Canis lupus familiaris: one gene and its partners. The protein of the gene in region 2 interacts with the protein of the main gene of each other region in a biochemical or structural test. Links are inferred from orthologs where the notes say so. Each region holds a gene or a part of one and is shown on either strand. Other genes may lie near its edges.

The links.
Region 1: the proteins of OCRL (region 2) and RAB8A form a complex in vitro, tested with the Homo sapiens proteins (2 studies listed by BioGRID and IntAct, with this or other methods). The link is inferred for Canis lupus familiaris from reciprocal best matches to the Homo sapiens genes OCRL and RAB8A.
Region 3: the proteins of OCRL (region 2) and RAB5A form a complex in vitro, tested with the Homo sapiens proteins (2 studies listed by BioGRID and IntAct, with this or other methods). The link is inferred for Canis lupus familiaris from reciprocal best matches to the Homo sapiens genes OCRL and RAB5A.

What each region holds. Positions count from the first base shown.
Region 1 is NC_049241.1:46,756,946-46,766,947, reverse strand, and holds the start of RAB8A (ras-related protein Rab-8A), read left to right. Parts: upstream 1-4,118; 5' UTR 4,119-4,127; coding exon 4,128-4,251; intron 4,252-8,739; coding exon 8,740-8,800; intron 8,801-10,002. UniProt on the Homo sapiens protein: The small GTPases Rab are key regulators of intracellular membrane trafficking, from the formation of transport vesicles to their fusion with membranes.
Region 2 is NC_049260.1:101,651,628-101,661,630, forward strand, and holds the start of OCRL (inositol polyphosphate 5-phosphatase OCRL), read left to right. Parts: upstream 1-3,909; 5' UTR 3,910-4,107; coding exon 4,108-4,146; intron 4,147-4,414; coding exon 4,415-4,497; intron 4,498-10,003. UniProt on the Homo sapiens protein: Catalyzes the hydrolysis of the 5-position phosphate of phosphatidylinositol 4,5-bisphosphate (PtdIns(4,5)P2) and phosphatidylinositol-3,4,5-bisphosphate (PtdIns(3,4,5)P3), with the greatest catalytic activity towards PtdIns(4,5)P2.
Region 3 is NC_049244.1:23,811,228-23,820,920, forward strand, and holds the end of RAB5A (ras-related protein Rab-5A), read right to left. Parts: intron 8,170-9,693; coding exon 8,076-8,169; intron 4,416-8,075; coding exon 4,300-4,415; 3' UTR 4,273-4,299; downstream 1-4,272. Other genes in the region: PP2D1 (protein phosphatase 2C-like domain-containing protein 1), read left to right, coding at 1,994-2,781. UniProt on the Homo sapiens protein: The small GTPases Rab are key regulators of intracellular membrane trafficking, from the formation of transport vesicles to their fusion with membranes.

The DNA of each region.
Region 1 (10,002 bases), on a different chromosome or scaffold from region 2:
GTTAAATCAAATTCCTTCCTTTTTTTCAAACGGCACCAGCTTTTTCAGCTCTATTTTTATCCTTAAGTTGCATTTATTCATAAGGTAGGCAGGGTATTTCATATTGAGCATACTCTCTTAAGACTGAGGGCATTTGGTTCCTGGGAGAATAGACAACCCTACACTTTCAAAAACAACTCCAGTATCTAGTCAAGGGTCAATTTAAAAGGCCAAGGAATATATAATCTTCTGGGCCACTGTGTCACACGACAGGTATCCAGGGACCATCACATTAAAATATGGGTAGGGATTTCCCGGGGGGGGGGGGGGGGGCGCGGTGTGAAAAGCCAGGGGGAGGGGGCTGGCTTTGTGGGAATTCATAAACCATAGAAAGATTAACCTAATCATCTTGGCTCTTTCCCACACTCCACCATGCAGAACAAACATTCTCTGAGCAGTCAGCATGAGAATACTTAGGAAATAATCATAATAATTACCCAAATATTTTCTGGATAGATCCTTGATGTTACGCTCTTCTACATGTTCCTCTCATTCTAAAGTTGGTCTCTGAGGAGCAGATAGCTTATTCCAATAATGACCCATGCTTGTCTGCTCTGATCTGAGACCGTCTATTCAGCAGGAATAAGTGTGGGTAGAAGTCAGTCTTATTTCGAGAAGTCCTATCAGGAAGACCACTAGCCATCAATAACTGAGTAGTTGTTAACAAATATTGGGCAGAAGGGGGCCTTTCTGACAGCAAAGTAGAGATAAAGTAATTGGCCTAGTTTCATCTCCTTTAAACTTCAGGAATGGCAAACTGAAGATTTAGTTATGTAGGACTTTAATTCCTTCTTCAGGACCAAGTTAATAAAAGACCAAGAAGAAACTCCTGATTAAACTGGATATGGAGTATTTTGTAGGCAGGGCTGCACATTTTGGCTTTGTTGTAATTTCTGCTTTCTTGATTAACATCTCAGAGCTGAAACATTCCACATTCCCCAGCAGTGTGGGGGCCAACTCAAGTTTACAATGCTGACAAAATTACCCTGCTTCTAGCTTATCCAAATCCTCTGCCCCTCACTCCTATTTATTAAGCATCACACTACCCAAAGGTACACTAGCAAATTGTGCAATTGAATAAAACCCACTTTTCATTTAGATTCTTGCAACTGTATCATATGTAATAGTATCACTTTTTCTACATTTTGGTCAAATAAATTTTTACATAAACTATAATTTGTGTGAACTTTAGAATGTATTTGGGGGGGGGGGTGACGTGGAAGGTACTCTGTTCAATGAGTGTTAATGGGATGGGAGGGAAAGATAACTGTGCCAAGATTATTAACAAACGTTCCTTGCTTTATACAATGACTTCATATGGGGATTATGATCTCTACATTCAGGAGAGCACTTTGCCTCAGTAATTCAAAAGCCCCTATCCTTTGTTAGACCCAGTCATGCCTGAGCCAGGCTGTGAAGAATAACTAGGATTTTACTAGGATGAGACAGGAGCAGGGAAAATGGTCCCTGTTGAGTCAGGAAAGCACAAGGCCTGCCTGCATATATAAAGGAAAGAAGTAGGTAAGCTGGGTCCATACTGAAGAAAGCCTGAACTTAAAACTTTGGTCAGGAGGAGAGCTGTTAAAGACTAATCAACAAAGAAACACATTAGGAAAATTCACTTAGTCTATTTTCAAGGAGGACAAGAGTGGGAGCAGACCAGTGGGCAGTAAGGCCAGTTAGGGAGATGTCTCCATTAACCCCAGATGGTGCTTGCCGTGGAATGAAAAGGAAGAAGTGATCTGGAGGAAGTAATCTTAAGACAGCTGACCAGCTGGCAGGTGACCTGAAAAAGAAAAGTGTCAAAAGATGACTGCAGTTTCACTACCTGAATTGTTCTGCTATCTGCCTCAAGATCTGATCTTGGGGAAGTGGGGTAGGGAATCAAAAAGAGAAATGAAAGCCTTTAAAAAACTAATGTGGTATGCAAACCATTTTTTTTTTTGCCACCAAGTACAATTAAAAACATCTCCTTGATGTTGAGTATTAACATTTAGCTGCTGCTGTGAGCTTATTTTTTTTAATATTTTATTTATTTATTCATGAGAGACCTGAGAGAGAGAGAGGCAGAGACACAGGCAGGGGAGAGCCCAATGCAGGACTCGATCCTGGGACTCGGGGATCACACCCTGAGCCAAAGGCAGCAGCTCAACCACTGAGCCACCCAGGCGTCCCTGTGACCTTGTTTAGATGGTAGATGCGGAGAATGTCAATGACTAAAGTATAATTGCCTTCTCTAAGGGCCCTACCATTACTAGACAGAAGTTCCTTCTCCCCCCTCTTGCCCATCGCCTTGGGCTGCAACCTAATCTCAGGATACTACTGTTCCAGTCAATCAGGTGCCTCGCTACATAAAGAAGTGTTCTGGGTTTGTTAAACCGATCTCGGATCTCCCGGAGTTCCAGATCCCGTGAAGTGTATTGTGGAACGCAGGGAGAGCTTAGGAGCAGAGTGTGAAGACCTGATCCTGACAGACCCTGAGTGGGGGGCACTGACAGGTGCCTTAGGAGGAGTACACTGCGGAGGGAAATCTGGATCAGAGAACAGAATCATCAGGGAGGCGGGTGGAGAGAGGAGCAAGGTTCAACAACTACTTAGAACCAAGATGGGAGACGATGAAAGAGCAGGGTCAAGGATGACTTCGGCTTCACTCATAAGGCAATTCGGGCCAGGCCCGTTGGAGTAGAAGTTGCCATGTTCAGTTGCCAGACAGGTCGAAGTCCCTGGGCCAAATCCAAGAAAGCGGCTGGTGGATGGCTGGGGGATGGATTTCCTCAAAGAATCACCTGTACGGAGAGTGAACGAGCTGCCCCAGGGTGCCAGCAGACCTGGGACCACCGGCAACGCCTAAAGCACACGCGGGGACCCCGGGGACTGCGACACAATCCGAGGAGCAGCACCCAGAGGGGGCCAGGCGTGGGCGACGGGAGACACCCGCAAGGAGGGTGGGCGGCGGCTCCGCTGGAAGCTCCCCCCTCGGCCCCCCCCCCCCCCCGCCGCGCCCGGATCCAGATCCGAGTGTAGATGCCCGCACCCCCCGACGGCGCGGCCCACCTCCGACCCGCAGGTCATCTCGGGCTTCCCAAGCCTGCGCGTCTGAGCTCGGGCCCGGTTCCCCATTCGGGAGCCTGGGGAAATCACTGAAGCTCGGTTTTCTAACCCATCAACGGGCGGGAAGCCCAGTACCAAGCCGGCGGGTCGGAGTGGGGCCACCTGGTGTTGTTTTCCCAGTGCGGACCACTCGGGCAGGCCAACACCAAGCTCGGAGCCACGTCCCAGCATCCTCACGGGGCTGCATCCGCGGCGGGGCGGCCGGCGCTCGGGCTCTGGGCAGGCTCCGGTTAGGTCCGAGGGCCTCGCGGCTCGGGTGGCGGAGGCCCGGCAGCGCCAAGCGGTCCCCTGGCCAGCGCCGAGGCCCCGGAGGACGTCTCGCGGGGACCTCGCTTCGACCCCGGCTCTGCCTTCCCCTTCGCGCGCCGGGGCCCGACGCCGCAGCCGCCGCACAACGCGGCCACCCGCGCGGCCCCTTCCCGCGTTCTTCCCAGCGCCTACTGAGGCTGCGCAGGCGTGAGGGCGGGAGAGCCAGGGCCCGCCGCGCGCGCGCCCTCTGCTGGCGCCTAACGATCCCCCCGGCCCCGTACGCACGTCCCAAGCCCCGCCCCCGAGCCGCGGGCGCGCGGAGCCGTTGGCGACGTGCCCCGCCCTCCCCTCCCGCCGGGGGGCGGGGCCGCCCCGGAGCCGGGAGAGGTGGGGGGGGGGGGGAGAGGGAAAGAAGGCGGGGACCCGGGAGGCCACGCCCCCCGCCGGGCTGCATTTGAAGCCCCCGACTCTTCAGGGCTGGCCAATTGGAGCCCGCCCTGTCCCGAGCGCCGACCAATGAGCGGCGCGCTCGGGCCGCTTCCGGCACCGCGCCTCGCTCGCCCCTTCCCCAGCTCTCCCCGCGACGGGCGGGGCGCGGGAGCGGGCGGCGGCCGCGGTGACGCGCGGCGGGCTGGGAGCCAATAGGGGGCGGGCTCGGCGCTGATGGACGGGGCCCGCGGCCAGTGGCGAGGCGCTGGCCGCACTTCCCGTCGGGGAGAGAGTGTAATATGGCGAAGACCTACGATTACCTGTTCAAGCTGCTGCTGATCGGGGACTCGGGGGTGGGGAAGACCTGTGTCCTGTTCCGCTTCTCCGAGGACGCCTTCAACTCAACTTTCATCTCCACCATAGGTAGCGGGGCCGGGGAGCGGCGGAGGACGCCGGAGGCCCGGGCCGGGCGCGCCCCTGAAGGGCTGGGGTTGAGGGAGCGGCTGGGCCGGACGGATCCAGGGATCTGAGAGGGTCGAGGGGGCCGGAGGGGCGGAGAGCAGCCGCCTCCGCCGCCTTCCGGGGGTTACCGGGCAGCGGGGGGAGGCGGCGAACCAAGTGCCCATTTTGCAGATGGGGGGACTGAGGCCCCACCCCTCAGGCTGCTTGTCAGGAAGTATGTGTCTCGGGCTGGGGTCCCGGCTCCGGTCGTCTCGTTCTGTTCACACGGCAGCCTTCGAAGCTGTTCCTTTGGGGTCCCCGCCTTACAGAAGCGAAACAGGCTTGGGGAGTAGGCCATCGGAAGAGGCCTGTGACATCTGAACCTTATTAAGCATTTACTGTGTGCTAGCCGCTTTATGGGCATTATCACACTTTCCAGTCCTCTGTGTTAGGTGCTCTAAATGAGCCCGTCTCACATGAGGAATTTGAAGCTCAGGGAAACGGGGGACTCCCCCAAGGTCACGTCTGCAGGTGGCAGAGGTGGAATTTGAATCCATGTGGGTCTAACACGAAAGCTCAAGGCAGGATCCTGCCGGAGGGATGTGAGCGCTGGTCCCCAGGGCAAACACTGCTGGTCCATCTGAGAACCAGCACTCTCAACCAACTCTCTCCTGCTCTTTCCTCTGGAATGTTCAGGGGGTAAGCCCGGCTCCCTGACCCTGTTTCCCCTATGGGTGAATTTCTCCTAGAAGGAATGGTGAGAAGGAGTCTGGAGCCTTTCTCCGCCCAAACTTCCATCACTTGAGGGTGTCAAGGGTGAGTGACCACTGCCTGCCCTAGGACCTGTCACCCCCAAGGAGATGCCAGATAAAAACTTGAGTGACAAACCAAAATCAGCCGCTGCCACAGACAGCCCTGACTTCCCTATCTGGAGGCCCAGAACACCAGTTGTCACTTTGCAGAACAGCCTTTCCCACAGGGCCAGCCCACATTGTGGTTGAACAGAATTGGCTTGTTGCTTCTCAGTTCTGATATCCACAAAAGTGGAGCTGACTTCTCCCGACGCCACAAAAACAGCCATTGCCCATGTGAAAACATTTGACCTGGAAGTAACGCCGATCAAATCGCGTGGCCTGTGAGCTCCACAGCCTTGCTGCAGAGTGGTCACCAAGCTCAGGAGTTGATTCTGAATGGGGAAAACCTGGGCACCAGGCTTTGCTTTACCCCCGTGTAACTTGAATCCAATCACCTTATCTCTATGAACCCCGTGATGAGCTGCTCATTCCATCCTTGCCCTCCTCCAGGAGCTGCACGTTACAGTTATGTTCCTGATGCAGAGTGGAGAGAATCGCACTGGAAATCGTCATGCCTGCTTGCCAGCTGTTGTTTGCCCTTGAACCAGCACTTAGCCTCTCTGAGTCCTATTCCTTCAGTTTAGGACTAATGCTTTCTGCCTTGGCCAGTGCCCTGGATGGTTGAGGATCAGAACTATATAGTGAATAAGAGGTGGTCATCATGGCCAGAGGCTGCCTGGAGGAAGCAGAATGTCTCCTGCAGTGACACCATCCCCTCCCTAGACACAGATGCTTCTGATTCCTCCCCTTCCACCACCCCAAGGTCAAACTTTGGGACAACCCTTGCATCCCATCCCCACCGGTCAGGAAGAGATGTTAACTCCTGGCAGGCTGTGGCTCGTCCTCAACCCAGACCTCAGTTTCCCAGCCTCAGGAACTTGCTGTTCAGTACAGGCACTAGTGAGATCAATTCAGAGATTGGGCTTTTTTGTTCGGTTTCTAATTCTCAACCAGAAAGCCCAGTCTAGCACTTTAGGGCTCTGAGAAGACTGGCCTCCACTTCCAGACAAAGATATGACTTGGGCCAGGTCACCTGGGGACACAGGTCGCACTTGAGCCCGGAATCCCTCCCTCCTCCCACCTTGGCATTCTCATTACATTTATAGTTTTCCTGCAGGTCTCTGTCTTCTAAGAAAATTTAATTCATCCTGGCCTTGAAGTAATGGCCTCATAATTCTTAGCCTTGTAAAGTTTACACTTCCTAATTATATTTGGTGTGTTCATGAAATGCAGGAAGAGATGAGGACAGAGTGATGCTGTGGAACCTTGCCAGTAGAACGGTGCTTCTTGATTTTATATGGCCCTGTGCATCTGTGACAGGAGGTGGGGAGTGTTTTAGGAAGGAATAGCACTGGGCCCCTGAGTCCTGAGACACAAACTGACTGGATAAAGGTGATTCTCTGTTGGTGCTGAGTGTACCTCTGGGCTTGCTTTATAGATCAGGGATTAAGTGGCTGTTCGTTTCCTGCCCACGTTTCGTTTTGCCAAAGCCTATTCTCCTAAGCTCCATCAATCATTTGTGGTGTAAACTTGGCCCCGTGGCTCCTGGAATTGCTTCTTCACAGCCTGGCTCAGCTTCCAACGTCTCCTCAGGGTCCCATTCACTCATTCCTTCAGGGAGACAGATGGCACAGCGTCAAAGTGCTTCGTAAACCACGCAGCACCATGTAGACCCCGTTCCTCTTAGTTCTATTGTCCTGCCATCTTTCCCCAATGCCTGCTGGCTGCCAGCAGGGCTGCACATCTGAATGACTGCATGCCAGCCGGTCTGCATCTGCATAACTTGGATGAATCAGGGAAACAAATGTAACAAGGCCTGTAGTCAAGGTGTGTGTGCAAGGACTGGGTGATCAGCTTCTAGCAAATACGTTGTTGGCCTCTGCCATGCTAAGTTATTGGAGACACAGCCATGAGTTAGACATCTGAGTCCCTGCCCTCGTGGAGCTTATGTTCCAGTGGACACATTTCAAGTGCAGGCTGATATTCCCTGTGGTCGCCTGGACAGTCCCTGCGGTGGGGCAGGGATGGAATTAGCATCCCCATCATCAGTTCTGAGGGATCAAGCCAGGCTTCAGCCTCAAGGCTTCACAGGCAGAGATTTGGGCTATTTGCCCTCCATACAGGCCATTCAGATGGGCAAGTTTTATTCCCAGATCCATGGAACAAATAAACAAATGTACACTGTCAGGAATAAGCCCATGAAGAAGAAAAAAAGCGAGAGGAGAGAGTAAATATGGTCAGGAAGGCTCCCTGGAGGAGGTGAAGGAAACAACATCCCAAGAATGGGAAGACCAAGCATGAGATCCCTGAGGCCAGGTTGTGCTTGGGATTTTGGGAAAAGTCACATAAGCCCTGAGTGCGGAGAGGTGGCAGGACCTTAGAGCACACACACAACTGTTCTCATTTTATTTTGGGGCCAGTGGGCTGGTAGGAAGCCAGTGGAAGTTTTGTTTTGTTTTGTTTATTTGTTTAGCAGTATTGAGAGACAGTTTGTGAACCATGCAGTTCACCCATTTAAAGCATACAAGTCAGTGGCTTTTGATATATTCACATGTTTGAATAACATCATCACAGGCAATTCTGGAACGTTTTCATTACAACAAAAAGGAACCCCAAGCCCCTTAGTCAACCCCCTGAATCTTCAGTCCCCCTGCAACCCCTGGCGACGGATAATCTCCTTGCTGTTTGGATTTGCCTGTTCTGGAGAATTCATAAGAATGAAGTCATACACTATGTGACCTTTCATATGGCTTCTCTCACTCAGCGTGATGTTCTCAAGGTTCGTCAATGTGGCAGTGTGTGTCAGGGCTTCTTTCTTGGTCATGGCTGACTAGTAGTGTGGATGGACCACATTTGGGTCATCCATCCATCCGTTGGCAGACACACTGGAAGATTTGGAACAGAGGTTGGCTTTGTGACAGGGTTGAATGTGGTTTGGAAAGCTGGGGAGGGGATTGAGAGGATGGAAGCCTGGAGAGCAATTGAAGAAGACCAGGTCACCCTGGGCATGGGGAAAGGGGACTTGGGGAAGCAGAGTCAGGAAAGCTTGGAAGGTGATTTTTCAGGAAGTCTTAAAGGAGAGAGTTTGTCAGGCTGACAGGTGGATGGGGTGGGGACCACCCACAGAGAAGGACCAACGCGTGGGAAAGCCAGAGGCTGAGGGGGCGACATTGTGGGGTGTCCTGGGGGCTCCATGCCCTGTGTGCCTGCAGGGCCTGGTGCTGGGTGCCGGAAAGTGTGGGGTTCTGGCTTGCAAAGCGTTCTGTGGAGGCCTACTCCTGAGAGGTGGCTGGGTGGAGAGAGGGGCTAGAACAAGGCTTTGGCACCTGACCTACCCGGGTTTGCCTGCTAGCTGTGCCACCTGTGGCTTCACTCTGGACAGCTCTGTCTGCCCTCTGAACCTCAGCTTCCCCTGCCGCAAGAGGGAAAAGCTCTCCAGGTGCCTCCAGATTTGTTGTGGGAGATTCGGAGAGCCCACATGCCTGGTGCCAGGCCAGGTGCCCCATAAGCCGTGGATGCTATTACCTGTACATGCTGGCAGTGCCCTCCTCAGATGCAGCGTGGGAAACAGGCTGACAGTGATGTGTCTTTTTTTTTTTCCTTTTTTTTCTTCCAGGAATTGACTTTAAAATTAGGACCATAGAGCTCGATGGCAAGAGAATTAAGCTACAGATATGGTAAGAGTCATTGCCACCATCACCCCCTTAACCCGTGAGTGCTTTGAACCAGCAGCTCTGGTGCCTCTTCCCCTTCTCTGTGACCATGGCCTCTTATCTCTTGGTGCCCAGCTGTACACGTCAGGCTTTCTTCAGAAACCCCAGAACATGTGTCCTGCTGGTTACTGAGGCCTGGAGTCTGCATCAGCACCTTCTGGGGACAGAGCCACTGGTCCTGGTTAGCTCAACATGCTGATGTGGGCACAGCTGGATCTAGTCTTCCGGGAGGCCTGCTTCCCTTGAACTTGCAGCACTCCCTCTGCCCAGGCAGTGGTGAGGGCTGTGGAACAGTAAGATTCCCCAGCCCAGCGTTTCCTCTTGAGCCTATCAGCCCGCTAAAGAAGGCCAGATGTCGCTTCCTCTTTTCTGTCCTGGGGAAGCCCAGGCCTTACTTCTCTAACAGAGCTGAAACCCCAGAACCAAAAATAAACCACGGCCAGGCCCACTGGTAAGACCCATTTCTAATCTGCTTACCTGGAGCTGACTTCTTGTGACACATAAAATTAGAGGCATTGTAAGTCCCTGTCACTGAGGCTGACCGTGGTTGATAGCCCACGGCGCCAGGGAAGCCTAGCTGAGCTGGTCAGATGGAGGGGTGTCCCACCCTGTAGCCACATCACTTACAGGGAAGTATGTGCCCTGAGCAAAGTTAAAGAGAAGTCCTATTTGAGAGGGTGGTGTAGTCTCCCAGTCTGAGCAAGCACCTATTGGCAGGGGGGTGGGGAGGAGGCGGTGAGACGGACCACAGAGCCACCTTCCCTGCAGCCTGTCTCCCTCACTGCAGCCTCAGAGAGCGCAAGCATCACCCTGCTTGCTGAGTGCACCTCCTTGGCTTTCATGGTGTTCACCTCTGAGTCAAAATCTGAATGAGGCCTAAAGGCTTGTCAGTTAAGTTGTAAGCCCTAGAAGTACCTCTGCCTGCAACACGTGGCTCCCAGCAGCCTCGGGTGCCTGGAGTCCAAAGTGACACTAGCAGCAGCCAGAAGTTTCACTTTCTTCTCCTCCTCCCTTCCTTCTTGTGCTCTCAGCAATCTTGATGGGGTTAGTGACTTTCATAAAGCTTTTCTAGACTAGAGCCATGGTTGAGAATAAAATGGCTATTCATAACCACTAATGTCACCTGCTGTTGGCATCAGAAAGTCAGCAGAGCCCCAAGGGAGGCA
Region 2 (10,003 bases):
CATTAGGGGATTTTTCTTTTTTAAAGATTTTATTTCTTTATTTGAGGGAGAGGGAGCACAAGTGGGGGGTGGGCAGAGAGAGAGAGAAAGAAAGAGAGAGAGGGAGGGAGAACAGGGACTTGATCCCAGTACTCTGAGATCATGACCTGAGCCAGAGGCAGATGCATCACCGACTGAGCCACCCAGGCACCCCTGGGGGATTTTTCTTGTAACTTTTCGGCTTCTCTCTTCTAGTATCTTAAATGTCTCCCTCTTCTCTGGCTCCTTACCCTTTGCTTTAAAATAGCTTCAAGGGGGGTCCCTGGGTGGCTCAGCGGTTTGGCGCCTGCCTTTGTCCCAGGGCATGATCCTGGAGTCCTGGAGTCCCGGAGTCCCGGGATCGAGTCCCACATCAGGCTCCTGGCATGGAGCCTGCTTTTCCCTCTGCCTCTCTCTCTCTCTCCGTCTTTTATGAATACATAAATGAATGAATGAATGAATGAATGAATGAATGAATAAATAAATAAATAAATAAAATAAATGACTTCAAGTTTTGTCAAGAATTTCTGTTTGACTCTTCTAATTAATTTAATTAAAATTGTATTTCACTCCTTTGTATTTCCAAGCCACTTCAGTACATGGGATCTTGTTTCCATTTCCTCACAATATAGTCCCTTCTCAATTCCCTGTCATCTTGTTTCCATCCTCACTACTTACTGAAACTACTTGCTTAGTGGTCTCCAGTGACTTCCTTGACACATCCAAAAAGACTCTTCATCCTCATTTTTCCATGCAGCAGTTGACACTGCTAACCCTCCCCTACATATTACTTCTTTCTTTTTCATTTTCATCAATTACAATTTCAAATTCAGACAGCTGCATAAAATAATATAACCAATATATATACCCACCACCCAGTTCTATCAAATCTTACAACATCAACTTTCAGATTGTTTAAAGAAATAAATATTATAGATATAGTTGATATACCCTGTCTGCCCCTCCCTAGTCTCAATCTACTCCCTCCCTCGAATTTGGTGATGATTATGCCCTTTCATGTTTTATATACTATTACTATTATATCTATGTAGCCATAAGCAACAGATAATATTTTCAGACTTTATATAAGTAGTCTACTGCACATGTTCTCCTTTTTTTGCTCAACATTATATTTTGAGATGTAACTCTGTTAATACATAGTTCAAATTATTCATTTTAGTTTCCAAATAGTATTTAACTTCATGAATACTGTGATTTATTTATTCATTCACCTGCTGATGGACATTTAATTTGCTTCCCTTTTTTGAAAGTAGTGCTATAATGAACATTCTTTTTTTAAAATTTGAGAGATAGTGTGTGTGTGTGTGTGTGTGTGTGTGCATGTACACAATTGGGGGGAGCGATCAGGGAGGGGCAGAGGGAGAAAGAATCCCAAGCAGACTCTGCACTGAGTGTGGAGCCTGATGTGGGGATCGATCCCACAACCCTGAGATCCTGACCCTGAGATCACAATTGAGCTGAAACCAAGGGCCTTTGCCCAACCTACTGATTCACCCAGGTGCCCCTGCAATGAACATTCTTTTACATGTCTTCTTGTGCATCAAGTTTAGAGTTTTGCCCGGGTCTATACCTAGAAATGGAATTTCTGGGTTGAAGCATATTACATATTCAACTTTATTAGGCAATGTCAAATTTCTCTTCATAGCAGTTCTAACAGCTTATGCTCCTTTTAGCAGCAGATCAGTTTCATCAGTTCTACATCCTCAACAACACTTGGTGTTATCTGAATTTTAAAATTTTGCCAAACCAATAGTTGTGAAATCACCACAACTATCTCATCCTTTTAGTTTTCAGTTTCTTCAAATAGTAATGAAGTGAAACATCCTTTCTTGTCTTTTTTTAAAGTTTTTATTTATTTAAGTAATCTTTACACCCACCATGGGGCTCACAGGGCTTGAACTCATGACTCCTGAGATCAAGAGTCACATACTCTTCAGATTGAGCCAGCCAGGTGCCCCCATCTTTTCATGTCTTTATTGGTCATTTGGGTTTCTTTGACTATGAACTGCTTATTCAAAATATTCACGTATTTTGTCAATTTTTAAACTAGATTTCTTCCTTTTTCTCACTAGTTTATAGGAGTTCTTATATATTCTGGACACTAATTCATTTGTTAATTCAATCAATATTTTTAATATTGATTAAATTGGATTTAACAAATCAATATACTTAGTTGCAAGAATGGTTGTACGTGCTGGGAATGCAGCTATGAACAAAACAGACAAAATTTCTGCCCTCATGGAATTTACATTCTAGTGGGGGAAGGTAAACAATAGACAAAATTAATAAGTAAAATAAATAAAACAATAGAGAGTAATAGATCCTATGGGAAAAAATGAACATGGAAGATGAATGAAGAGGCATGTTTTTATGGAAGTGGATAAGGAAATTGTTGAATTGCATTTTTTGGAATTGCAATTTTATTTTTATTTTATTTTATTTTTTAAAGATTTTATTTATTTATTCATGAGAGACACGGAAAGAGAGAAAGAGGCAGAGGCAGAGGCAGAGGCAGAGGGAGAAGCAGGCTCCATGCAGGGAGCCAGACATGGGACTTGATCCCAGGTCTCCAGGATCAGGCCCTGGGCTGAAGGCGGCACTAAAAGGTTAAGCCATCTGGGCTGCCCTGAATTGCAATTTTAAATAAAGTTGTCTAGGGAGACCTCACTGAGAAAGTGACATTTGAGCAAAGACCCAAAGGTGGAGAGAATACAGGTAAACAGCAAATGCAAAGGACCTGAAGCAAGAGTGTGCCTAGAAAGTTCTAGGAATAACAAGGAGCAGTGTGACTACGCAGAGTGAGTTGCCAAGAGTGGTGGGAGAGAATTCTGTAAGGTGATGACAGCTAGAAGTGTAGAACCTCATAAGTTATCCTTCATCAGTTAAATGCATCAAAAATATCTTCTCTCAATCTATGGCTTGTTTTTTAACTTTTTTGCATTGTCTTGAAGTACATGCATTTTGAAATTTAATGTAGTTAAATGTATCTATCAATTCCTTTATTGTTCCTACTGTCTGGTGTCTTAAGTAGTCATTCTTATTCCTTATTCCAAGCTCATAAACATATTCTTCTATTTTCTTCTGAAAGAAGTCTTGCTTTCTAGTCCACTGTAGATTCTCGTGCAAGTAAAAACACAATTGAAACATTACTATGAGAAGAATGTTCTTATGATTATCAACAGAGCAAAATGGTGAAAGGAGAGATCACAAGGGCTACCAGTAAAGTGATGGGGGTGCAAATGGAGAGAAAACAGGGAATCTGGAAGTAATTCTGAAGAAAATATTAATAACGTTTGTTGACCAATTAGATACAGATAAATTCGGAGAAAGGAAGAAAGCACATGGCTTCGAAGTTTCAAGCCTGAGTGGCTGTGGTAAATGATGAGTTAGTTTTGTCATTCAGGATTGTGTTCACAGTGGGATATGTTAAGCAAGGGGGCTGGGCCTGGGAAGTGTAGTTGGTCGTTGTCTGCTTAGAGAGGACCTGGGGGGGGGGGGCACAAAGGAAGAGCAAAGATCTGAGCTTTGGGGATTTTTCTATTTACTTGGTGGAAGGAAGAAGAAGGGGAAAACATCTGAGAGGTAGGATAACCAGTACGGTAGGTTATAACTTTAATGAGGACTTTTTTTTTTTTCCGTATGATGTGGGTCCTATTGACCCAAAACATTTGAGTTCTCTCATAGGTATGGCTGTGTTTTGTTTCTGTGGCAATCTTCGAAGCCCACAGAACAATTCTGGTGTCACAGGGTAGCATTTAAAACGCACTCCTCCTTGGACGTGGTCGAGACGCCCCCGGTCCGTCGGGTCTCTCCCTGCAGTTCCGCAGGTTGGCCGCAGGGGGCGAAATCTGCGGCGGCCTGGAAAACCCGCGCGGGCGCGAGGCGCCGCTCTCTCTCGGGTCGGGCTCTAGGCTCTCGGCTCCGCTCCCGGCTCCAGGCTCCCGTTGCTCTGCGCGGAGCTGTTCCCCCAAACGACGCGCAGCCGAGGACGGTGGGTGAGGACGCTGGAGGCAGAGTCGTCGGATCCGCCCGCAGCCCGCAGCCCCACCGAGCCCGGAGTCCGCAGGGATGGAGCCGCCGCTCTCGGTTGGAGCCCAGCCCCTTGCAGTATCCGCCTAAGGGAAGGGGGAGGGGAAGCTAGCAAGGTGGGGTGGTGGTGGTGGAGTGGGGGTCGGGGGGAAGTGCAGAACGTGGTGGAGTGATTAGGGGGCGGTCGGGCCCAGAGGACCAGCCGAGCGGGGGAAGGGGGCCAGCGCGGGAGGCGATGCCTTGGGCAGTGGGGAGGGCAGGCAGGGGGGTGGGAGCCTCCCTCTACCCCGCACCGCGCCACTTCTCCCTGGCCGCGCATCTGGAGGAGACCCTTGACTAGTGCCTGCATACTATCGAGGGTATGGAGATGAAGGGTACTCTCCGGGAGCCCTGCGCCCTGACGCTAGCCCAAAGGAACGGGCAATATGAGTAAGTAACCACCTGATTCCCACGGAGGAGGGGAGCCTGCCATTACCTCCCAACCCCAAACCGCGACAAGCCACCCATCCTCCTCCCCCTGAAGCCTTGTGGGCAACAGGTTCAGGCACAGGTGTGAAGTGCGAGTGCTGTAGCCTTGGGGTTTTTGTCCCCAACTTCCAAGTCGCCAGATCTCTCCTGGCAGTGTGGCTCAGTGGAAGGACTCAACAGGCGGGCGTTGAAGCAGGAAGCCTGGGTTTTTAGTTCCTGTCTCTGCAACTGACATGTGTTGTGTAACCTTGGGCAAGTCAGTAATGCTTTCGGGCCTTGGTGTCCTCATCAGTTAAATAAAAACATTAACTGCCTTTGACTTAACAGGCTTTGAAGTTTTAACTGGAAGAATAAGAAATGCAAAAGTGGTTTGCAAAAAGTAAAAGTATTATAGAAACCTTACAGAAGTGCCTTAACCCCATTCAACTGGTTCCTCCAGTCTCCCCACCCCCTTATTACACTTGCTTGAAGGCATTTATATTAATTCAGTAATGGTTTAGTGTAGGCCAGTAACTGCCTCACTTACTGACTTGACTGATAGAAAAAGTAATGAAATGTGTAGAAATATAAACAACCTTTGGCACTTTATCAGTGTGTGTTATCTTCCACTCTGCCTTGCATACAGAAGCTCAGTAAATACTGTTGACTGATTGAATAAAAGATTATTTTGAAAGGCTATCACTTTAGCTGCTGATCTCACTCCCTTTCCACTAATGCCTTATCCTGAAAGTATCCATGGTGACCACTTACATATCATAGACCCTATTCCTGTGTGCCCAAGCCACCTGCCTTGGTTGTTGATTGATTTCTCGACATCAGAGTTTAAAAATCGTTGTTCATTTATATCCCGTCTTCTCCCAACGTTGGATTCGGCCTAAAAGCAATTGTTCTCAGTCTCTGCTTTTAGATCATCCAGACTGAGTGTGTCTATGCTGTCTAATTAACACAGAAGAAATTCCTAACTAACTAACCTAGCCTGCCCTTTTCTGAGACTCTTGATCCGACTCTACCTGGACGCCAATTGGGCCTATGAAGTAGCTCTTCCCTAGGTCCTGTTCTGTCAGTTGTTAGCATGGTAAATTCATGTTGTTTTCCCCAGATTTCATCAAACCCTGGAAGACTGGTTTAATAGTAAATGCAACAGAAAAGTGAATTGAAAAGTGGAATACCAATGCCACTTCCAAAGGCTAGAATGAGATGGAGAGATGTGACCCTTGGATAAATCAGTAAATTTTTTGCACCTTGGTTTCCTCTTCTGTAAAAACAAAACGAGGAGTATTAAATAAAATTCTGTGGTTGAGAAGACCGCAGCCTAGGATGTGGTTCCTTGATTTGATAGGTTTAGAGCTCTAGTTAGCTATTACAGAAGTGAGCAGCTGGCATTGAGATAAATGCTTGGTTCTATCTGGCCTCCTGTACTTGGAGAACTTTTAAACTTGGAGTGGTAGCTCTCTTATTTGTGTCCTCTTCACAAAGAAATCAAAATCTTATGTTCCATTTCTGCTTAAGGCACGAGGGTATATCAACTACTAAGACTTAATGGCTTTGGTATCTGCCAGGTACTCTTCTAAGCACTTGCTTCTAAGCACTTCATTTAACTCTCCTGTGAGGGTTACTGTGAAATTATAATATTCTCATCATCATCCCCCTTTTCTAGATATAGGAATTGAGGCACAGAGAGATTAAGTCACTTGTTCACAGGAAGTAGCATACTTGAGATTCGAAGCCATGTAAAATTTCAGAATTACACTGAGAAGTTTCTTTTGAAATAATTTGTTGGGGACACCTAATACTGTCATACTATCTATAATCCTCAGATTCTTGTCTCATGGATACCTTCCCTGATTTGGGTTCTTCTCAGAACTTTTTTTACTTTTGGTCTTTTTATCCCAGAAATTGAAGCCTGTTATAATCTTTGGTTCTGTAGTTCCTGCTGTCAACCATTGGAGAAATTTGGTTGAGGGAATAAAATTATAATTAAAAATAAGGGTTTTTTTGTGATAGAGAGTCAAACAGTATTCATTTTTTCTAAGGAAAATGGATTTTGATGCCACCTGTTGTTTCATCTTTAACATTCCTTGAACAAAGTAAAGTATTTCTTATGGATAATGCTGTCCGCGTTCACAATTTGTTACTCTTTTCTGTTTAACAACTACCAAATTCTAACTTCTATTTTTTTTGCCATATACCTATTATTTTTCATCTTCCTGTTCTGAAAGTAATGATTACATTTAGGAAGAATTTTTATACTTATTTTTAGCCCTATTCTTGTTGCAATTTATTTGGTGACTAACACATAGCAGAAATTAGGGAATTGACTTAAATTCCAAGTTTATCTTTGTTTTGTGATGGATTTTGGGGAAGTTGCATTTTTAAATTGAGGCATAATTGACATATTAGTTTCAGGTGTACAACATAATGATTTAATATTTGTATATATTGTAAAGTGATCACAATAAATCTAGTTAACATCCATTACCACACAGTTACAATTTTTTTCTTATGGTAAGAATTTTAAAAATCTACTCTCTTAGCACCTTTCAAATATACAATACAGTGTTATTGACCGTTGTCACTATGCTGCATATTATAGCCCCATGATTTATTTATTTTATAATTGGAATTTTGCACCTTTTGACCTCTTTCATCCATTTAACCCATCCCCCCCTGACAACCACTGATCTGTTCTCTGTATCTGTGATTTCAGGGATTTTGTTTTTGTTCTTAGATTCTACATATAAGTGAGATCATATGGTATTTGTCTTTCACTGACACATTTCACTAAGAATAATGTCCTCAAGGTCCATCCATGTTGTCTGTTTCATGATGGCTTTTATTTTTATTTATTTTATTTTATTTATTTATTTTTTAAAGATTTTATACATTTATTCATGAGAGAGAGAGAGAGAGGCAGAGACACAGGCAGAGGGAGAAGGAGGCTCCATGCAGGAAGCTCGATGCAGGACTTGATCCCAGGACTCCAGGATCACGCCCTGAGCCAAAGGCAGACACTCAACTGCTGAGCCACCTAGGCATCCGTCATGATGGCTTTTAACAGTACAATCCAGTCGATGTTTTACTGCTAATGTCCAATACTGTATTTCTCATCTTCATTTCTTTGAGATTTATATTGTTTTGTGTTCTTTTTCTCCAAAGTAAGCTCTTCTTCCTTCACTCTTGCCTTGTCAGTCTTTATCTCGTTTCTGATATTCATCTGGGTTTATAGAACTTTTTGCTCAACTCATGAACTTTGTGGGCTGAAAGGAACCTGCCCAAGGGCTCCTGGGTGGTTCAGTTGGTTAAGCATCTAACTCTTGATTTCAGCTCAGGTCATGATTTCATGGGTCCTGAGATTGAGTTCCATGTCCAGCTCTGCCCTCAGCAGGGGAATCTGCTTGAGATTCTCTCTCTTTCTTTCCCTCTGCCCCTCCTCCAACTCATGTGCACATGTTCTCTCTAAAATAAATAAATAAATCTTTTAAAAAAGGAGCCTGCCCCATATTCTTCTAGTCACCTAAAAATATGAACTCATGCAAATTAGATAAGCAGAATCAGAGCAGAAGGACAGCATTAATATTTTTATTTCCCTTAGTTTGTCTAAGCAATTACTTTCTCCATGATATCTCCTTTAAAGTTAACACATTTGAAAAAATTCATTAAGCTAAAATTCATAAAGCTGAAAAAATTATTAAATAAATAATTCATAAAAATTCATTCATAAATATATATATTGTGAAATGATCACAATAAATCTAGTTAACATCCATCACCACACAGTTACAAATTTTTTCTTGTGGTAAGAATTTGTAAAATCTATTCTCTTAGCACCTTTCAAATATACAATACAGTGTTATTGACAGTAATCACCGTGCTTATTTATTTATTTTAATCACCCATGACTTATTTATTTTATAACTGGAAGTTTATAGACAACAAACTAGAAATAAAACCCTTCAAACAGTGACATTTTTTAATGTCAGATTGAACAAATTATGTTAAGAAATTTATCTCTTTATAGTTTAAACTGGCTCATTTATTCAACCAATATTTATCAAGCATCTATTAGCAGGAGGCAAAACAGTATAGTAGGGTCTTTGTTTTCAAGGAGCTCAAATCAGTGAGGGAAATAAGTATAACTGCAATGGAGGGTATAAATACTCTATTAAAGGGGCAAACAAAGAGGATCAGGGTACTGGTTCCTCTTTGGGGAATTAGGAGAAGCTGCTAAGAGGAGGTGATATTTGAGCTAGGTCTCAGGGAGAAAAGAAGAGTGTTCCTGGCAAAAAGAACCACCTGAAGACTGCTTGATTTGGGGGAGCTAGGAGATGTTCAGAATGGTTGTTTACCAGTAGGTCATATCTCGAATCTGGGCCACTAAGGATAAGTACTAAATGAAAATTAATATTTCATGGGATCCCTTGGTGGCTCAATGGTTGAGCATCTGCCTTTTGGCTCTGCGTGATTCCGGGTCCGGGAATTGAGTCCCACATGGGGCTCCCTGCTAGGAGCCTGTTCTCCCTCTATGTCTCTCTCTCTCTCTCTCTCTCTCTCTCTCTCTCTCTCTTCCTCCCCACCCCCCCTCCCCTCCCCCTCTCCCCTCTCCCCTCTCTCCTCTCTCCCCTCTTCCCTCTCTCCCCTCTTCCCTCTCTCCTCTCTCCTCTCTCTCTCTCTCTCTCTCTCTGTCTCATAAATAAATAAAATGTTTAAAAAAATTATTTCAGGAGTACATAGGAATTTAGAAGTCTTTTATTTCATACTGTGTGGGGAGGGCAAATTCAGTCATGTTTACCTAGAAATACCAGCATGAAGTTGGAAACCAGAGTAAAAACACAAGGAATATAAAGGCACTAGTTATGATATCTGCTACCTTGTTGGTCATGGGTTATTGTAACTGATCCAGCTGGCTGTGCACCTCTTCTTACTTCTCTCTCTCTCTCTCTATTTTTAAAGAATAGACACTCTTGGATTTTATTTATTCATGAGAGACACAGAGAGAGAGGCAAAAGGAGAAGCAGGCTCCCTCCGGGGAACCTGATGTGGGACTCGATCCCAGGACCCCAGGAACACGACCTGAGCTGAAGGCAGACGCTCAACCACTGAGCCACCCAGGCACCCTCTTCTTACTTCTCCATGAACCTCTATACTTGTTTGAAGAGATAGAATCATTTTTTGGTAAAAGTCATGGGAATATAATCTGAAAGCTAATTTATGAAATTTCTAATTCATTTATTCAACAAACTTTAGTGAGTGCTAAGTGTCAGGCACTGTGTTAGGTGCTAGAAATACTATGGTGAAAAGACAACTGTAGTCTGCCCTCATGGAGTTCACACTTAACTACGCTTCACTCTGGTATGCATACTCTAAAGATGAATGCACTGTAATTCTTGCTTTTAAGATCATAAACTGTTTAGGACATAGACTGCTATATATGGCATAGGACAATGTCGGTATTCAGATATTGATCATT
Region 3 (9,693 bases), on a different chromosome or scaffold from region 2:
TCTCGTAGGAAAGAATGTGAATTATTCAGGAAGCACTATTTCCCTTTTCATCAGGATAAACTTTGTCAACCAGAAGTATTTACAGCAAGTAAATGGTAGAGTGAAAAGTGCAACCAGGATATAATATCCCTTCAAGAAAGTTCTGTACTAAGCCCAAGGGATGTTCACAATAGTAAAATAAGCCAAAATGGCATTTCCTGTCCAGCACAGCAATTGGGGGGGTGGGGGGGGAGACGGGCGGGGAAGGGCACCTAGTGCATAAGAATATACTTACCAATCTCTGTAGACGCAACTAAAAAATACCAGTTTACCACCATTCCACTGTAACAATTATTTTCAAATCACACAATAGAGGAATAATACTTTTTCTTTTTGCTGAATGGACTTTGACTTGCCACATGCAAATAAAACATTTATGAAGTCAGTGGATTCGACTCTTCTGAGCCAAATGTCTCCTGCGTTTTCAAAGCAATGGTTACATTATTTTTTTGTGTATGTACATACATTAATAGGAAATTTATAATTTAAAAGAGATATTGAATCACATGTCCTCCTAATAAAACAATTCGATTTACCCAGGTGGCATGTTCAGTATCAATCCATGCTGCTTTGCTGGAATAGTAATAATTTATAACTCAGCAAAAGTCAAGAATTTTACTTTTTCTTTCTGTAGAGTTTAAGTAGAAAGACCAGCAAAAAAGACAAGCTAATACAAAATATTAATAACCAAACCACAGAGAAGTGAAAGAGGTCATGTAGTTTTCAGGACTATCACACAAGTCTCTGGTTTTAAAAACATTTTCCACATTATTTTTATAATTCCCATTATATAAATGAGCCAACAGGCTCAGTCTATGCCTGAACTAATTCTTCATTAATTTAAGCTCTTTCGGTCCAACCATACTAATTGCATAGACTATAGCCTTCTAAAATCTCAATTTCTTTACCTCAAAAACTGGGGATAGAATTGAACCTCTGTAGCAACAAAACTCAGATTCCAGGTATGGTATTATGATTGAAACCAGAGTATTCTAATGTAAATTCTGCATGATCCAAGGAATTTTAATTCTCAAAGGCACTGTAATATTCAAACATCTTTAACCTCATCTCAGAATAATTTATATACCCTTTTATAAATGATAAATGACTCCATATCAAGAAAAACTTATTGCTTATAAACTAAAAAATTCTGTGAATCGTTTTTTAATAAACCAAAGAAAGTTTTGGTATTACAACTATCCCTCAATCTGTTCAGAATACTGTTTAGATTTTCTTAAGATTTCAACGAAGCACACATCACAGGTTCATATGAACCATGAACAAATTACAATCAACTTTTAAGATTTCAGTTTTCAATCAAAGGGTTTAATTTAATATTGGCTAGCTATTATCCATTTAACACATTAATAATACATATGGATTTTTCTTTACATGGCTAATCGATTTAATTTCTTTTTAACCACACAACATGAAACTATTAAGACTGACATTAACAGTGGCATTCTAATTTTTTTCATCACCCACACCTATATATATGTTCAGGTTTTAACTTTTACCAGTTACAAAACTATCAAACTCCACTTAAAAAAAAAAAATCAATGCTTGTTTTTAATTAAAAAGGCATTTATTTAAACATTTAAAAAATGTCTGCCCTATGGAATATATGTTGGTCATAAAAAAGTTCAACTCTTGGATGTATAAATATTCAGCTGTTTCATAAAAAATTGATGGTTATTTTTTATTATTTGTAGTTTTAAGTTATTTTAATATTAAGTGCAGTATTTTGAACACTAAGTTACTTAAAAATGAGGGACAAACTCACCTCTCAGTCAAATCTTAATGACCATAAATCGCCCAATATTAATATTTCACATATGTAAAAAATATTTTAAAATGGCCTATTTATGCACTGAAACAGAATAAAGTTAAAAGCGTACTTTGATACAATTGGTCACTAAATCTCTAAGATCAATTTTTTCTAATAATCTTCTAGGTAATGTACAAGCAGTCTTATGCAGAAATGGAAAAGGCTTTTGCATAACCAAAGAACACACTACGAGAAACATAACTGAAAGAAGAAGATTACTTAAGAATGGAGCAATAATTAGTTCAAATGAACCATATGGGCTCCTAGAAGGGCAAATAAAAACCACACGAGGACTTGGATTTCATGGAAATCTCAAACTGAAAAAATCCATTATCCCAGCACCTCAAACTATCTCTGTCCCTATCGATGACTTATGCCAATTCCTTATCTTAGCTACTAACGGACTCTGGGAAGTTTTGGATACAAAGGAAGTCACTGCACTGGCAATGACAATGTTTCAAGTATATAAAGACACCTACTATTGTATCACACAAAATCAATCTTTACCATCCAAAGAGCCTTTCCTAATCAATGAACTAAGCAATACTAAATCAGAAAGTAATATCCATATATTGTTTCAGTATAAATCTGAATCTACAGAATGTGTGCCAACTATAAATACAAAAGAAAATTTGTTTGATTCAAAATATTCTAACCCTAAAAATGCAGAAACATTTCCATCAGAAATGACTAATCATCATCTATACAGTGAGAAAGAAAGAAATGGACCAACCAGTGTAGATGTGTCAAAAAATTCAAGTGAAAAAGAATCATGCATTAAAAATTTCTATGAAGGTGCAGCCAAGTATATTAGCCATGAACTTGTAAGTGCGGCTTTAGTGGCTGGATCCAGAGACAACATTACAGTCATGGTAATACTTCTCAAGGGAAGTGAGTATCAGTTTCTGACATAAAAAGATAAATTTCTGATTATCTAAGAGTACAAAAATGTAAAGACAGTTCTTCAAAGAACCAGATATTAGGATAATACATCAATACCACACAAATTTTAAAGAACATATTAAGGAAACTATAAAAGCATTATTTTAGGTTACATGATACTATTTATATATATATGTTCACTGTTCCATGCCAAGAAAGAGAAAAACCAGTACTTGCTTTTTATACCACTTTATTCCAACCTGAGCACCTCAATATAAAACTAAACACTGGTGAACTGTTTTCCTTACTAATTCTGAATTACGGTAAATGTACAAGTTCTGCTAGCAGTTCAACACTTAAATAGATTAAATCATCTCTGACACATGGTAGATTTCATATAATGAAAATACCTAAAACAATTAGTGCAATATACTGAACTGATCAAAATAAAATGAACTCTGGAAAACAAGGCTGCAAGACTGTTACTAACATACTGCAATAGTTATGTTACAAATTACTGGTACATTGTTTATTATGGTTCTAGCCATGTAGGAACAACTGAAGCCCCTTCCTTTCAAAGGGAGAGAAAAGGAAAAATTAGCTGTTTTAGTAACTGTACATTTTGTATACTTTTAAGCAACTCTTAAATATTACAGGAAAGTAATAAACATATATGGAGACTACAGTGCAGTACTCTATTTACAGTACAGCTGAAAATTGAATTTAAAATAATCAAGTTTGAATGTACATAATTGTTAGTGCATTGACTATATTATGTCCAAAGGGAACAAAGGCCCCCTCCCTGCCCCCAAACAACAAAACCTATGTAATGGCCAGCAGTGATTAAACAGAAATCACAGACACCTGGTTTGTTTCATTTCTGTTGAAGAGCTCACATGTTTGAAGGGAACACTATCAAGATGCATTCAATTTTCATATTCCTAAAACAAGATGAGGTTACGTTTGACCTTTTTTAACCCACTAAAAATACCAAGACTGGCTATAATTTAGATGCCACTAATGTTTGTGTTTTTCTCCCTGAAGATGTGGGACTGTTTTCTTGTGGCTAATCTGTTAAAATGTGGAATGTACATTTTAAATATGCATACTAAGAGAAATTACCAGTTTCCTGAATACTGTAGCTAAGCATAAATATCTTTAGAACTTCCTTCTAAAAAAAGAATGCTTTTGAAAAGCCCAAATTAATAAGTTCCAAATCTTTTACATAGAAGTGGCTGGTTAACTGTGGGTTTACATCATTTGTCTCTATCCCTGGTGATGAGAAATGATTCCCCTAACCGTCCAAGGAAACAAGCGTACACACACAGCTCTCATTCCCCCCTTCTACTTCTGAAATATTAGTCAGAGGGTCACATGCATGTTATTAAAAATTAAGTTCAAAACACTTAAAATAATTCTGTATTAGAAACTTGACTCTATCGTAAGTCTCTTCTTTTTGGAAGTCATACTGGGCTGGTTAAATGCTCCAATTCCACTGTCATTAACATTTAGGAAGCAGAAGAATATTCCAGGAAGTTCAAACTGGAGGTTTAGTTACTACAACACTGACTCCTGGTTGGCTGCGTGGGTTCAGTAAGGTCTACTCCTCTTCCTCTGGCAGAATTTGCTCCTGGATTCTGTGGTTCGTTCTTTGGCAACTTTTTAGCTGAGAGATAAATTATCAAAATAAACACAATTAGTGGATTCATATTAGAATTACTTTCATCTGCTTAATCTTTTTTTTTCCAGCTAGGTTGACCCAAACTATCACACAGCTGTATGTTCATTCTTTTCCAATTGCTTACTAAATATCTACTAGATAATACCAAATACTCTTCATTCGTCAGTCCTCAGTGAGGTTAGTGGGATAAGGGAAGGGTAAGATAGGGAACAGTTATATATAATTAAAACTTAAGTTGACTATATTTAATTTTTTACATATATTCAGTTAGCAATACCAGAATAGTAGTACTTTTATTTCATAATCTTTAATACTTCTATTGTTTAAAGAAAATCTAAGTTAATAAAAAAAAAAAGAAAAAGAAAATCTAAGTTAATAAAGATGATGGCCAGCCAATTATTTATAAAGAATCTTAGCTTGTATCAATGATCTCCGGACTGCCACATATACTTTCTGGAACAAGTCAGGATATAAACAACAAATGCCATCACTGTCACCCCAGCAGTACTGGTCCTCTATCATGCTACCTAATTATCACCCCAAATTCTGACAGATCACATCTATTTTCTTCTGGCTTACACATACTTAACTCTTCAAACATCTACCATGCTCCTCATTTATGGATGATTAAAAACCCTAATCCGATTCACTAGTAGCTCTGCCTCGTCTAAGGAAGACTTGATTCTGAAGTCTCTACTTCAAAAAATGATTTCCAGTCCTGAGCTGGATGATCTTGGCTTGTCACATTTGGACAAAGCCCTCAACTAGCAGTTATGGTTTTAGTTCTACTAAGCTTTATATAGCTAATACAGAGTGCTGGAGCCTGGATTCCACTGATTTAAAAACATACCTGTTAGATACAGTCTGCTTTGAATCTTAAAAATCCTTCATGTGCTGGATTCACTAAATATTAACTATCTCTGAGAATACTGACTGTAAGTGTACTAGATACACTATATCAACCTTGGGGAGAAGACTATTATGGGTGAATTCTAGCTTTACCTTACTATTGGCTCAGGTTACACAAAAGTTGGACATGCTCCACCTTCAATATCTAAATGTCTAGTTGCACTTTGGATCTTTTGTAATATTCCACACGAACATTAATCATCTTTAGAATCCTAGATGCTGGGCTAGGCAATGGAAGTTTGGGAAGAAAAGCCTTCACCTTCGACTACTTCTCTGGAAATGGCACTAAGGATGGAAGGGTAAATGGTAATGAAGTAGCAAATTTCCAGTCAAATACATTTTCAAACAAAGGTTTGTAGGGACAAAGAATAGGCTAACATTTATAAACTTTATTATAATTTATATTTTGGACTAAGAGATCATTTCTCTTTTCAATGGGTCTTCTGTAATTAGATCTGAGTGAAATTACGAGGTTGAAGGAAATAAACTAGAATAAGGAACTTTTAAGCTTCTATTTGGTAAACTTACACTGTGTGAAAATAAACTAAAATACAGCTTAGAAGTCTCAGAAGCAGCCCTCTATCTCTATCTCATATCTTATTTAATATTACCAAAGTAAAGCTAGTACTACTTGTTTGGTATATGGGCAATTGGAGCTTACCATCTGCCCCTGAATTAGGATCTTAAGAGGCTAAAAATCCAAATGAAGTTAATGAAGATGTGCAATGAAAGAAGTCATGTAAGCAAAATCTTATCAAATTGAAAGCAGATTATAAAATTATTGTAGACTTTCTCCTACTAAATGACTATATTCTCTTTTTTTTTTTTTTTTTTTTTTTTTTTTTTTTTAAATGACTATATTCTCTACAGGAAATCATCAAGAGTAAAAATAATGAGTGTACTGTACTGTGTGATCTAAGTTACCTATCTGGTAAACAACTAGAAAGGCCACAATTCAATTTAATGCTTGGTATTTCTTTCAAGGAAAGAAACATTGTAATTTCAGAAAAATAACTGAAAGTTCTAATATGTAGGCTATCTTCTGATTGGAAAAATATATTACCAGCACATCTAAATAAAAGGATAAAGTCCATATGCGGGTGCCTGGCTGGCTCAATCAGTACAGTGTGACTCTTGATCTCCGTGTCATATATTCAAGCACCACATTAGATGCAGATTACTTAAAAAAATAATAAGCAAGCAAGCCCATCTGGTGGTATCTTAGTACTATCAGAAAAGTTTAAAGTTCATTCAGCCTGATTTGAGGCTATTATTCCCTTGATTTCTGTTACTGGCTTTTCAGATGTGGTTCTGAATGTAATTTTGTGTTCTATTTATAAAAAGAGCACATTGTCATATAATCCTCCACAAGTATTTCCCTAATAAACTTTAAGCCTGAGTTTTTCAGTAAAATATTTTACACAACAGGCAATTTTTTTTCCTAATGAGCCTAAATGAGCTACCATTAAAACTCTCTCATCTAGTGAAAGATATTTTAACAGTACTTGTAGCATTTACTATATTTTCTTTAGCCTCTGAATCAGCTGTTAATTGGTTAATTTGTATGACTTCAATAAAAGGACTATTTCTTATTTGGGGATAAGTTTGTGGGCACCCTAGTTAATAATCATTGCCATATAATAAACATATTTTGGAATGAGAAGAGTGCTTGGTGCATAAATAGTGCAGACACAGTAAAATGCAAAAGCCACCCAAGTAGCCAATTCTCACAGAATCCTCACCTTAAGATTGTTGAAAGGAGGTTAGGATCAAGAGAAATACTTTTATTTTTGTTACAGAAAATAGGAAGCTTCCTTATTAGTGTTCCAATTTCATTACTTACAATCAACAAACGTGGAATCACAATCTTAACACATAAAATTACCTTAGGGAAAAGGTAAGAGCACTGCATAGGTTAAATGATCAGAGGTAATATGAAGCATGTTATTTTATTTTCCGTCTTTCTGTGCCTCAATAATTTGAAATTTTGTTACAATATTTGCATTATATTTGTCAATAATCAGTGATTTAAAACTAATGTGAGAAACAAAAATAGTGTTTATTCATGGCAAAATAGAGATGAAAATAGTTACTGATCAGTGAGAAAGTAATCTCTTTATGTCTTTATGTTATGCTGATAAATATTGTTCTGAGCTTATCTTCCTTTCATGTAAAAAAGATAATCTAATACAAAAACTTATTTATCCAAATTTCTCATTGAAATATTTAGAAAATCCATCTGCTTGAACTATTAGCTCAAAGTCCAGGCTTTCAATTTACCTAGAAGAGACTTAAACTGAAAAGTATTACAACTTAATAGATAATAAACAGTCTTTCAAATTTAACATTACTAACAAAGTAATTCTTGGTGGAAAGGATCTAGAATAGTAGTAGAATCATTAAAAAAATGATTACTTTTAAAAATACTTCTCAAAATTATTTACCAAAAAAGTAAGTATTTTTTTTAAAGATTTTATTTATTTATTCATGAAAGACACAGAGAGAGAGGCAGAGATACAGGCAGAGGGAGAAGCAGGCTCCATGCAGGGAGCCCGACGTGGGTCTTGATCCCAGGTCCCCAGGATCACAGCCTGGGCCAAAGGTGGCGCCAAGCTGCTGGGCCACCGGGGTTGCCCAGAGTAAGAATTTTTAAAAAGAAGACAGTCAAACCAAATATGCTACAGTGTAAGTATTATTGCCTATATCTACTGCTTGGAAAAAAATTAAAAAACTTACCTATTGCCATGAATATTTCATTTACATTCATCGATGTTTTAGCTGATGTCTCCATGAATAATAAACTGTTGTCATCTGCATAGGACTGTGCTTCCTGTTTATAAAACAAAAATATGATATATATCCTTTGCACATACTATAGCTGACTTATTTTTGTTATAGAATAAGAGGCTTCCTCATTACTACTCCAACTTGATTACCTAGAATTAGCAAATATATAATAATTAAGGTAAAAGAGGTAAGAGATCTTTTGTAGGATACCTTTTCAGTTCTTTTGCCTTAACTTCCTGCAGTATCCCCATTCTGATTCACCTAGGCTCACACTAAATTTGATTTCAAATAGTAAGTGCCAGAGGTTGGAAAACTGTCTATTCTAAACATAAAATTCTCTTTGATCTCAATGGCAAATTTTATTTATGCTTATTACTTTCAATGAAGTCAAAGGGAATCCAAATATCTAATGGCTATATTTTAATTCTTAGTATGTCATAAATCATTCCTTTAAAAATTATATTACTAGTCTACATTTTTGTCATGATTTACAGTTTGCATGTATTATTGCCTTTGATCCTCACAGTTGTGTGAAGAGCAACCAATCATCTTTCCCATTTAATGAAAAAAATGAGGTTCCTTTGAACTCTTATGTGAGAAGGCCACTTTTGACTGTAACTTATAACTTAATCTTACTTCCCACTCTATGCTGGGGAGATAACCATCTTAGAGAATAGATATTATACCCCACATGACAATAACTAGAATTAAATAAAATCACAGGTGCAACTTGCTCAACTTACTACCTAAAGGTGCAAGAAATATTAGTTCCCTTTCTCAGTCTATGTATTCCATCATAGCCATCATCAAAGAGAATTACCCTATCATTCATTATATATGTGTGTGTGTGTACGTATATATATATATGTGTGTGTGTGTGTATGTGTGTATATATATATATATATATATATATATATATATATATATATGCCACAACAAACTTCTCTGAGAGGTTGAAGAGGAAGAGAAAAGGGAAAGTTTAAATTAGAGACATTTGTTTTTAAGTAATTGTACTTTATTTTGTAGCAGGGAACATTCTTGGTTAGCTATATTAAATAACATATAAAGTGGGTTTTTTGAGCCTTTATTTTTGAAGGCCTATTTAAGAACCACATATGTGTAAGCTGTATATGTATATGTGGTTATGTATATATGTGCTGATATAAATACTGGCAGATAAATAAAAAGGGATACTAAAATATGTATGGGGTGGAGGGATTAGGGTAGGAGGCAATCACCTTTTGCTTTATATATTTCTGCACTATTTGTCAACAATTACTTCTTTTATAATTATTTAGGTCAACAAAATCTTTTTTTTTTTTTTTTTTTTTTTTAAGAGAGGTGGGTAGGAGGGAGGGAGAGAAAGAGTATCAAGCAGTCTCTGCGTCTGAGATCATGACCTGAGCCAAAACCAAGAGTCAGATGCTTAACTGACTGAGCTGCCCAGGCACCCCGCTCAACAAAATCTTTGAATCAATTTATATACACAATTATGTAAAGACATTTAAAAATTCAGATTTATCATAAGAAACATATTACATATAGTAGATCCACATTTGCACAAAAA